2 linked regions of the Arabidopsis thaliana genome follow. The protein of the gene in region 1 interacts with the protein of each later gene in a pairwise test. Each region holds a gene or a part of one and is shown on either strand. Other genes may lie near its edges.

The links.
Region 2: the proteins of ACS9 (region 1) and FEI2 interact in a two-hybrid assay, tested with the Arabidopsis thaliana proteins (one study listed by BioGRID).

Annotation. Positions count from the first base shown.
Region 1 is NC_003074.8:18,433,719-18,437,733, reverse strand, and holds ACS9 (1-aminocyclopropane-1-carboxylate synthase 9), read left to right. Parts: upstream 1-1,592; coding exon 1,593-1,739; intron 1,740-1,832; coding exon 1,833-1,964; intron 1,965-2,048; coding exon 2,049-2,209; intron 2,210-2,291; coding exon 2,292-3,264; 3' UTR 3,265-3,285; downstream 3,286-4,015. UniProt on the Arabidopsis thaliana protein: 1-aminocyclopropane-1-carboxylate synthase (ACS) enzymes catalyze the conversion of S-adenosyl-L-methionine (SAM) into 1-aminocyclopropane-1-carboxylate (ACC), a direct precursor of ethylene.
Region 2 is NC_003071.7:14,960,167-14,967,197, forward strand, and holds FEI2 (Leucine-rich repeat protein kinase family protein), read right to left. Parts: upstream 5,273-7,031; 5' UTR 5,080-5,272; exon of another isoform or gene 4,851-5,079; intron 4,607-4,850; 5' UTR 4,475-4,606; coding exon 4,378-4,474; intron 4,267-4,377; coding exon 4,131-4,266; intron 4,041-4,130; coding exon 3,969-4,040; intron 3,881-3,968; coding exon 3,809-3,880; intron 3,557-3,808; coding exon 3,485-3,556; intron 3,097-3,484; coding exon 3,025-3,096; intron 2,931-3,024; coding exon 2,859-2,930; intron 2,664-2,858; coding exon 2,575-2,663; intron 2,454-2,574; coding exon 2,298-2,453; intron 2,203-2,297; coding exon 1,870-2,202; intron 1,791-1,869; coding exon 1,545-1,790; intron 1,451-1,544; coding exon 1,317-1,450; intron 1,240-1,316; coding exon 1,021-1,239; 3' UTR 685-1,020; downstream 1-684. Other genes in the region: AT2G35615 (Eukaryotic aspartyl protease family protein), read left to right, coding at 1-568; MOR1 (ARM repeat superfamily protein), read left to right, coding at 6,662-6,824, 7,020-7,031. UniProt on the Arabidopsis thaliana protein: Involved in the signaling pathway that regulates cell wall function, including cellulose biosynthesis, likely via an 1-aminocyclopropane-1-carboxylic acid (ACC)-mediated signal (a precursor of ethylene).

The sequences.
Region 1 (4,015 bases):
TTCGTTAATTGACTTGGGCTTAGAATCTGTTCAAGGCCCATTTATTATGGGCTCGTTTATTTTTTAATTTTTTTGGGCAAGCACGTGATGATATATACAGTGGGATGTTATTTGTGTGCGAATTAAATAGAGTTTTTGTGATTTAAATGTTATATAGAATCTGTTGTTATTCAGTTAAAATTTTTTAAAAGTTTATTAAAATCTAGTGTATTAGTTTAAAATTTGTAAAATGCGATCTAAAATTTTCATGCAGTTATTTGATTCATACTTTTAGAAAGTCAATAAAATTTTTGTGTTATTCAATTAAAATAAAAGAATTTATGATTATTAATGAATTAAATTATTATGTTATTAGTTTATAACTTTTGATATTTTCCTTTACAAAATAAAGTCATCAAAAATATCATTAAAATAGAAAGATTATTTGGAAAACTTTATAAGATTGTGGAAAACTAATCAACAAGATTATAGAAAACTCTCTAGATCTAACAATAATTTAGAATCTTTCTATTCTTTATTTTGTATGCTTTTATTAAAATCGTCAAAAAAAAATTGTAAATTAGAAACAATAACATCTTTAAATCAAAAGATTCATAACCAGAAATTGTGAATAATACACTTTTTTTTTTAATTTGGACCTTGTGTCTGATTAACCCTAGTGGCATGATCATGAAATTATCGAGTTCGGATCTAAATGTCCAAATCCGAAATGGATCTTAAAATTTTTTCTAAGCTTAGTCTTACTGGCTTCGGAGATATTCAAATTCCCAAAACTCCCAATCAAAATTTACTATTTATTTTCAATTTGGCGGCCACTTTTTCTTCAGATTTAATATCTCTAATGTCCACTAGTTTTGTATTATAAGCATAACCGCAGTAATAATCATAAACATCTCAGATAACTCCCGAAACACAATTGGTGAAATCCCCAACACAATATCATGACATTCGATCTAAAAATAGATTTTGTATTGTTTTGGTCGCTAATTCATTGTCATGTATGTATGGGCGGTGACCGAAAACGCGTTTTATGGACAAAACTAATTTTGTTTTGTTTAACTATGTGTCAAGCTTTCTCTTTTCTCTATTCTACTTCACCTATCCAATTATCATTATTATCGTTTTCTTTATATCTCTCATGTGTTTGTGTAATAATATATATAGTGAGGGTTAAACAATATTATTCTACTTCCTCTAAAATTTTATAACGTTTTAGTCTACTTCTGTTTTTAATTAACCCAATTTCACACATACTTCAAAATTTGAAATAATTGTTGAGTCTTTTTCAATTTAACTTTATATAGAGATAGGAAGAGAGATTTTCTTTAGATTTGTAGTATAAGATTAGCAAAATATATACTAACTGACGATAAATGATTACTAATAAATTACTAGCTACGTGACGTCAAGTAAAAAACGGAAGTATATATATATATAGCTCCCACAAGCAACCACATTCCACATCTCACTCTTCAGTCTTCACCAACTAACTAAAACCTAATTCAACATATCTCTCTCATTTACCGTTCTCCCATTCTTCATTAGTCATCTTTCAATAAACCAAACATTCTTTTTGATTTTTATATCAAAAAATGAAACAACTGTCGAGAAAAGTGACAAGCAATGCTCATGGACAAGACTCTTCCTACTTCTTGGGATGGGAAGAATACGAGAAGAACCCTTACGACGAAATCAAGAACCCTAATGGGATTATTCAAATGGGTCTTGCCGAAAATCAGGTAACTATAACTACGAGTTTTCGACCAATCGACCAATCTTTAATTATTGTATATTTTTGGGTGTTTAATACGATGTTTTTAATATGCATGCAGCTATGTTTTGATCTCATAGAGACATGGTTAGCTAAGAATCCGGACGCAGCCGGACTAAAAAAGGACGGCCAATCCATTTTCAAAGAGCTTGCTCTCTTTCAAGACTATCATGGCCTACCCGAATTCAAGAAAGTAAGTAATTAATTTTTTTTCACCTTCATAAGTAACTCGATCAAGAAGCGAGTAACTAACTTAATAGGGTTTATTTATCTATAGGCTTTGGCAGAGTTTATGGAGGAAATCAGAGGAAATAGAGTAACATTTGATCCAAGCAAGATTGTCCTAGCTGCTGGTTCAACATCTGCCAACGAAACTCTCATGTTTTGTCTCGCCGAACCCGGGGACGCTTTCCTTTTACCAACTCCTTACTATCCAGGGTAATTTTTTAGGTTTTTTTATTTAATTACTTGCCTCACAAGAAACCTGAGCTGATAGTATTTGATTCGCTTATGCATACAGATTCGATAGAGACTTGAAATGGAGAACGGGAGCAGAGATCGTACCTATTCATTGCTCAAGCTCTAATGGGTTCCAAATAACAGAGTCAGCTCTTCAACAAGCTTATCAACAAGCTCAAAAGCTTGATCTTAAGGTCAAAGGAGTTCTTGTTACCAACCCGTCTAACCCTCTTGGCACAATGTTGACCAGAAGAGAACTTAACCTTCTCGTTGACTTCATTACTTCCAAAAACATTCATCTCATAAGCGACGAGATCTATTCAGGTACCGTTTTTGGGTTTGAACAGTTTGTAAGTGTCATGGATGTCTTAAAAGACAAGAACCTCGAGAACAGCGAAGTCTCCAAACGAGTTCATATTGTTTATAGTCTTTCCAAAGATCTCGGTTTACCAGGTTTTCGCGTAGGAGCAATTTACTCCAACGACGAAATGGTTGTTTCCGCTGCAACAAAAATGTCAAGTTTCGGTCTCGTGTCTTCTCAAACACAGTACCTTCTCTCTGCATTGCTTTCAGACAAGAAGTTCACAAGTACATACCTCGACGAAAACCAGAAAAGACTCAAGATTCGTCAGAAGAAACTCGTGTCCGGTCTAGAAGCTGCAGGGATTACTTGTCTTAAAAGCAACGCTGGTTTGTTCTGTTGGGTTGACATGAGACATCTTTTGGACACAAACACATTCGAAGCAGAACTTGAGCTATGGAAGAAGATTGTATATGACGTCAAGCTGAATATTTCACCTGGTTCATCGTGCCATTGTACTGAACCGGGTTGGTTTAGGGTTTGTTTCGCCAACATGAGTGAAGATACGCTTGATTTGGCGATGAAGAGGCTCAAAGAGTACGTAGAGTCAACAGATAGTAGAAGAGTGATTTCAAAAAGCAGTCATGATAGGATCAAGAGTTTGAGGAAGAGAACTGTCTCCAACTGGGTTTTCCGGGTTTCATGGACCGACCGTGTACCTGATGAACGATGAAAGTATATTCATCGCCCCAAGTTAAGACAAAGCAAATCTTCCTACCAATTTTTTTCATTTACAATAATATATATATATATATATATATATATATATATATATATATATAATCGTTTTTTATTGTTTTGGAAAATGGTTGTTACATTTTCTTAAATAATGATATTACTAAATATTCTTTCTTTCTTTCTTTTTTTGGGTTTTAATATCAACTATATTATTTTTTTATCTTTTATTTATAAATGTTTCCCTGAGAATTTGTAGCCAATTTTTTTTGTTTTTTTGGATATAAGTGTTACTAGCATTAAGTGCACTCAATCCAAATTTGAATTTGTAATGGCTATCTATATATCTATCTCCTGTAATGTCAAGGAAAGTTTATATCCATGAAAATATATAACATATGTACATTTCTACATTTCGCAGTATACAAATATTAGCCATATATATATTTACACACACATAAAAACAAACGATAACATGAAAACTACTTTCGATTTGCTTAGATATTGAATCAGAAGGTTTAGTCCATAACGTAACGAACAACATAAATTAAAGTTTAGTTTACGACAACTATCCATTATACGATGGAAAAAATTACATGTTATATTACATCCAGAGAAATATGATATATGCTACGATATTTGATCAGAAAAACAAATAGAAAAAATATATGCTACATAAATTAGAAACCTACAAGCATTTCATGTCAATCAATACTTTTTTATTTCAGGTTGAAGAAATGACTATTAGG
Region 2 (7,031 bases), on another chromosome or scaffold:
CACTAACTCGATTCCTTCAAGTCTAAGCAAAGACTCCGGCGTGGTATCAACTCCGTTGGTCGATAAAGAGCCTCTTACTTACTACTACTTGACGCTTGAAGCCATCTCCGTCGGGAAGAAAAAGATTCCTTACACCGGAAGCTCGTATAACCCAAACGACGACGGAATACTCTCGGAGACATCTGGAAACATCATCATCGACTCTGGAACGACACTGACCCTCCTCGAAGCTGGTTTCTTTGACAAATTTAGCTCGGCGGTGGAGGAATCAGTGACCGGAGCCAAGCGCGTGAGTGATCCACAAGGGCTTTTGTCTCACTGTTTCAAATCCGGAAGTGCAGAGATCGGTTTGCCGGAGATAACGGTGCATTTCACGGGTGCAGATGTGAGGCTGAGTCCGATCAACGCATTCGTGAAACTGAGTGAAGACATGGTTTGCTTGAGTATGGTTCCGACCACCGAGGTTGCCATCTATGGGAACTTTGCTCAGATGGATTTCCTAGTTGGGTATGACTTGGAGACGAGGACGGTGTCGTTTCAACACATGGATTGCTCTGCGAATTTGTGATTTGACGGCGTCGTATCGAGCTTATTTTATATTGTCCATGATAATCATTTGTTTGTTATGGAGATGTAAAATCAGAATCAAAGCTTAAAAATTATCCTTGCTAGTAAAAATAATTACCTTCTTTCTATATTGATCTTCTCATCGATATTATATGATTGGTTTCAACTAGTTCCGAAGTACACAACATGTATAATAAAACTTAAGAAAGCAAACAAGAAAGTATTATGATAGAGAAATTATTCAGATTCTTAGGAACAGTGTTTCTACAATGGATGGTCATATACATTTTAATCTCATGATCAGATCAATTGAGGCGTGTCACCAATCTACCAATTCAAAGTAAAAAAAAAAAAAAAAAAAGGTACCGACTATGAATGGCTCGAGAACTTTGTACTGTAAAACTGAAAAGGAACTCTGAAAAGAGAAGGCAGACAGACTTTGTGAACGTGAGATCAATCGGAGCTGGAGTCGTAGAAGTCGCTGGGGCAAGGAGTCATAACTTCGGATTCAAGTAACTGGACGACTCTGTGCATTGTTGGCCGCTCATCTGGACTTGACGACACACACTTTGTTGCTATTGATAGAAGTGCGTCGAGACTCTCTCTCTCCACTCCTTCACAGCTTAGATCAACAATCTCCTTTGCCCGGTTTTCGCTGATTAAGAAGTTTAGCTGCAAGATTATAAAAAACAAAATTTAAGCTTTTACTAGTCAATATTATTATCTAAGCTGGATCTCGTTATGCTTACCCAACCAACAATGTTAAAGCCTTTCTCGATGAATGAGGCATCCGTGGGAAGTTTACCACTCAAGACTTCAAGAACCAAAACCCCGAAGCTGTAAACATCGGTTTTCTCAGTCGCTCTACCGCTTTGCATATACTCTGCAAAAAACACTCATTATGAGTTCACGGATTTAGGTCCTAACAGATAGTAACAACAAGTAATAAGCATTGTTATTACTGTGTAATTGAGTACCTGGAGCCAAGTAACCGAATGTGCCTGCAACAATGGTTGTAATATGAGATTCTTCGTCCTCTAACAACTTGGCAAGCCCAAAGTCTGATACCCGAGCCTCCAGATTTCCATCCAGTAAGATGTTGCTTGATTTTATATCACGGTGTATAATCCTAGGAGAACAATCATGATGCAAGTATGCCAACCCTTTTGCCGCTCCTATTATGATATTAACTCGCGAATCCCAATCCAGCTGCTCGCCTCTCTCTACACATTCAAAAATTTCACTTAATAGAATCATAATTCTCCGTTAAGGAAACCCGTAAATATGAAGTTGAGGGTTTACTATGTAGAGCTTCATCAAGGCTACCACCAGGAAGGTAATCATATAGCAGAAGCTTTGATGTGGGTGAATTGCAGTATCCACGTAGATTCACAAGGTAACGATGTTTGATGCTCCCAAGAATCTCAAGCTCCCTTTCAAAAAACCGATCAAAACCTTCATTTAACTTAACAATTCTTTTCAGCGCAAAAACATTGCCATCGTCCATAGACAGCTTGTACACTGTGCCAAAGCCTCCACAGCCTATTATGTGCTCTTCATTAAGAGATTCCAGTTTCTTGATAATGTCTTTGGAAGCGTAGGGCAAATCTCCATGGAACATCACTATAGACGCACCTGGATAGAAAAAATCGTCTCTTATGGTGTCAAGTTTTGAGAGAAAAATATAACTCTTAGAGAGAATATCTACAATATGAGTCAGCATGGCTCACCTCCACCGACATCTATCACAAGGCTTTTACTCTCAACTCTACCAAGCTTTTTATAGAGAAAGCATCCCCAGAAACACATGAGCGCCACTAGGAGCAGCCCACCCACAGTAGCTGAAGCACTTATAAGCAGCCTTTTAGGGTTATTACCTCCTTGGCCTATAACACGGGAGAAACCAAAAAGCAAACTCATTTCACGCCAAATACTACAGATTTCTCAAAAATTAAGTTATAATCCATATATCCTGACAAGAAATTGATTAAAACACAGTTGCTTTACCTGTTGGAGACCCAGAAGCTGTAGAATTTCCACTGTCATTGCACACAATATCGATTTGTTTTCCACACAAGTTACGATTTCCGTTGAAGCTGCAAGAGTGATTCAACAGTTTACGACTTGGTTATTTTCAGCTACACTGCTGCAAAGCTAGTAACAGGGTGCTATCGTACACAACGTCACAAAAAAAATTATAACTGCTTTGCCAGATCAACCGTAGAAAGATTTATCAACCATAATTTACAAAAATTTGGTTGGGGAAATGGGTATATATAAATTATACTTACGAGTCCCTCGAGAGTCTAGCGAGTAGGCCGTCAGAAGGTATTTTTCCCACCAGGAAATTGTTTGAGACATTGCTTCAAAAGAAGATCAACATAGTTAGTAACATTGACACTCATATATCTACAGGACTGCAAAATAAAATACGCAAGTTAGAGATTAGCAACTCACAATTTAGTAAGCCTTTTCAACTGCCCAAGTGAAGCAGGGATAGCTCCATTGAGATTGTTGTTTGAGAGGTCCCTTCATAAATGAGAGTCAAAAATCATAGTAGTTCAGAAGAATGTAGATGATATGCCCATTTAATATGAAAGAAGCCTAGCATAGATTTACAATTCTCATCATCATATTTGAGAGTTTTTCACCCGGAAAAAATAACACAATACGTGATTAAATATAAGTTATGTCAAACTCCCTATAATTTTTAGGGTTCACCACGACTGTAGAAATAAGTACTTTCGAAAACATTATGTTGTTGCTGCATGGAAGATCAGAAGAACCTCTTGTAGTTCACAATATAATTATAGAGGATACTAAATGGTGAGAGTAGATAGCAGAACAACAAATAGCAGATCCTAGAGAGGCTAAGAAAACAAATCCACTTGGAAGAACGAGGAAAAAAACCACGTACAGGTTTTTCAGCCCGGACAGGTTTCCTATTTCACTTGGGATTGTCCCAGTGATGTAATTATTCTGCAAGTATCTGCAAGGAATAAAAGGACAATAAATTATAAAAGATTCACAACGATTCTTGTCAACTAGCTAAACTTGTGACTGAGTTTATCATCACTCACAAGACGCATCAATATTATGCACCAACTATATAGAAGCAAATAAAGAAAAACACTAGTAATTGTTAGGAAATAATATAAAATTTGGAAAAACAAAACGAGAATTCGATCAGCAATGAAGTGTAATCACACTAATCAGCATAAGTATTTGGGAAAGCCCTTACATTCCCTCTAATGCCGTGCAATTTCCCAATGAGGCAGGTATTGATTGATATAACGCATTGTTGTGAAGCATTCTGCAATGACATGGGAATACACATACAATGAGTAGTAGAGCATATGCTAGACATCAATAATATTAATTAAAAGGTTAGGAGCACATACAAAAGCCTTAACTGATCCAGCTTTCCAAGCTCAGGGGGTAAAGGTCCCCTTAATTTGTGATAAGTAAGACTCCTGCACACAAGAAACTTCAGGAACCGACAAAAGATGCACCACATACTGAAGAAAAAAAAAGAATTTAAACTAAAGAAATTTTAAACTTACAAGGCTATAACTCTTTTTGTTTTTGCATCACAGGTCACTCCTTTCCAGTTACATGGATCAGGATCCTCTGGTCTCCACAGACCAATAACACCATCAGAAGCCAAAACTCCATTTCTAAAACTCAAAAGCGCCTCACCTGGAGAAAAAAAGGATTTAATCCCTTCAGCAATCTGGGCGGAGTAAATGGTGATCATGACTTGTCAAAGACAAAATATAGAAGAGATTAAAGACACATATCGCTGTATACCATCAGGACTAATTGCTTCATTTTCATTCGTTAGTGCAGAGAGAAACGAGATCAAAAGAAACCATGAGCAGCAGCGCTTCATTAGACAGATGCCCATTATGGCACCGTTCAAGCATAATATAGCTACTGCCAATCATCTGAAAGAACAGCCTCCGGAATGCAACACTCGTAGCATATACTCAGCTGCTCCGTGACGCCCAGTCTATCTTCAAGAAACAAAAAGAGACTCCTGAAGTTAAATAAAATAATGTCATTAGACCGTACAACAATAACAGCTGACCCTCATTTGAAACTCTATCAAGCCTCGATCTTCCAATAATCAGACAACCAAATCCTCAATTACAAATCAAGCGTTCCACAACATCGATGCACAACATTTGCATGGTCTCATTAACAATTACAGCACCCAGAACAGTGAGATTATCTAATCGGATCAAATCCACCTCCCAAATTTGCAAAATCAGAAATCGAACCTTCAGAATAAAACCCCAACTCATTATTTAAAGAGGAGCTCGGATAGCTAAAATCGAACTTAAATCACGAAATTCGGAGGACATCATTGCAATCACAGCACAAGAAGAACTGAAGAGTCAACAAAACCATTCAATAATCTAAAAAAACGAAATCGATTCGCCGATAACTCAGACCAAAATCTCACTTCCCCCAAAAAAATGGCGAAAGAGAATGGGAATTTACACGAACCTCAAAATGGATCCGCGAGGAGGAAGATGAAGATGAAGAATAAGACAGAGGAAGAAGACGCAATTGAGCTGTAAAGCAATGTCTTAACTAACAACTTTTTTTTTTTTGTTGTTGTTGTGATTTATGAGAGAGTGAAGAGAGAGAAAGTAGAGTGTGCAGTGGAAATGTGAGATACTTTGGAGAAGGAATCGGCTAGTTACGAGTTTACGACCAATGAGAGAGGAGAAGTGGAGACCACACGTGCCGATCATGACTTATTACACGTGTCGACCGACGCATTGTATAATGCCAGAACTGGACAAGGGCTTGTTGGGTCAGTTAAAACATCGTTATTGCGTGGGCCTACTAAAGCCCATTGTTATTTATTTGGAAGCGTACTGTACTTTACTATCTTTAGGGACAATTCTTGTATTTTCAGCTTTAGCGGATCTTATTCACCTAAATCAAACAAACAAGTGTACTTAAAAATGGAACAAACAATGGACTGATAATCATTATTTCATTTGCTTTTATAATAGAAATCAAAATATTAATATTGGATTCAATCTTTCCACGTAACTTCTTGTTTTGGTAATTTCATCTATGATTCTTATAAATTTGGTACCATTGTAAAAATATGGCTTAAATTTGAGTTGTTGTTTCATGTGTTAGCAGTAGACAAGAAAAGATATCTGGAGATAGAGAGTTACATCACCTAAGACATGAGGATGGAGATGGAAAAGGTGTAAGGTGTGGTGTGGCTTAAATATTCTTGTACTAATTATCAATCAAAGTTTGTTTGAAATTTGAGTATTTGTATTCTGAATTTGAATTAGATATTTCAAATATATTAAAATCCAAAGCGAAATCAGATCCTAGCATAAATATTTAGGATATTAAAATAATAAATTTTAACTAGTTTTTAAATCATAAAATACACAATGTTTTTGAACTTCCATAATCAAACTAATAAATCCATTTTGGTTTACGTGTCTAGTTTTATAGAAAATGACTATTTATTTGTATTTTATAGAAGAAAAGATAATCCAATAAGTAAGTAATAATAACTCATGATTTTGTTGATTTTTTAAAATAAATATTTTTATAACTAAAAATGAGTTATTCATTTCAAAATATTACTTTATTTTCTTAGAAATTAATAGATTGTTAATGTAAATATATTTTGAAAATATTTACAGAACCAACAATAGGAAAATTCAGTACTGTTAATCATTTCCTAAAATAGTTTGAAAATGCCGATCTCTCCACGTGGAGAAAGCAAAAGAAAAACGCTCGTTTTAAGATTTGAAATAATCGCGCGTGTAAACATTTCCAATCAAAACGCGCGTGAAGGGTTTTTAACAAAAAAATTACACCACCGATTTAAACGTAGAAACCAAAATTCCCCCACTCTCTCTCTCTCATTACGCTCCACCCTACTCTTCTTTTTTGTCCTTCTCTCTCTCTCTCTTGCCGGCACTAACAACACGAAGAAATTTTTTTGAAAAGAGAGAGAAAGTTTCCAAGAGACCGTACGAAGAAAAAAAAAACTTGGTATAGATCGATAAGATCGATACCGTCGGAGAGATAATTTCGTGGAGTAATGTCGACGGAGGATGAGAAGTTATTGAAGGAGGCGAAAAAACTTCCTTGGGAGGATCGGCTTGGGCATAAGAATTGGAAAGTTAGGAACGAAGCTAACGTCGATTTAGCTTCTGTTTTTGATTCGATTACTGATCCTAAGGACCCTCGTCTTCGCGATTTTGGTGAGTTTCTCTACCTCGTTTTTTTATTATTATTATGTTAGGGTTTTTGTTTTTGAAGCTCAGATCTGATTAGGGTGGTTTATATCGGTGTGGATCTGTTTTGAATTTGGATTGTTGAGTGGGAATGTGATTGGTCTAGGGTTCCATTTTGCTTTACTTTTGATTGAATTTCTGATTATTATTTTTTATTCGCAGGTCACTTGTTTA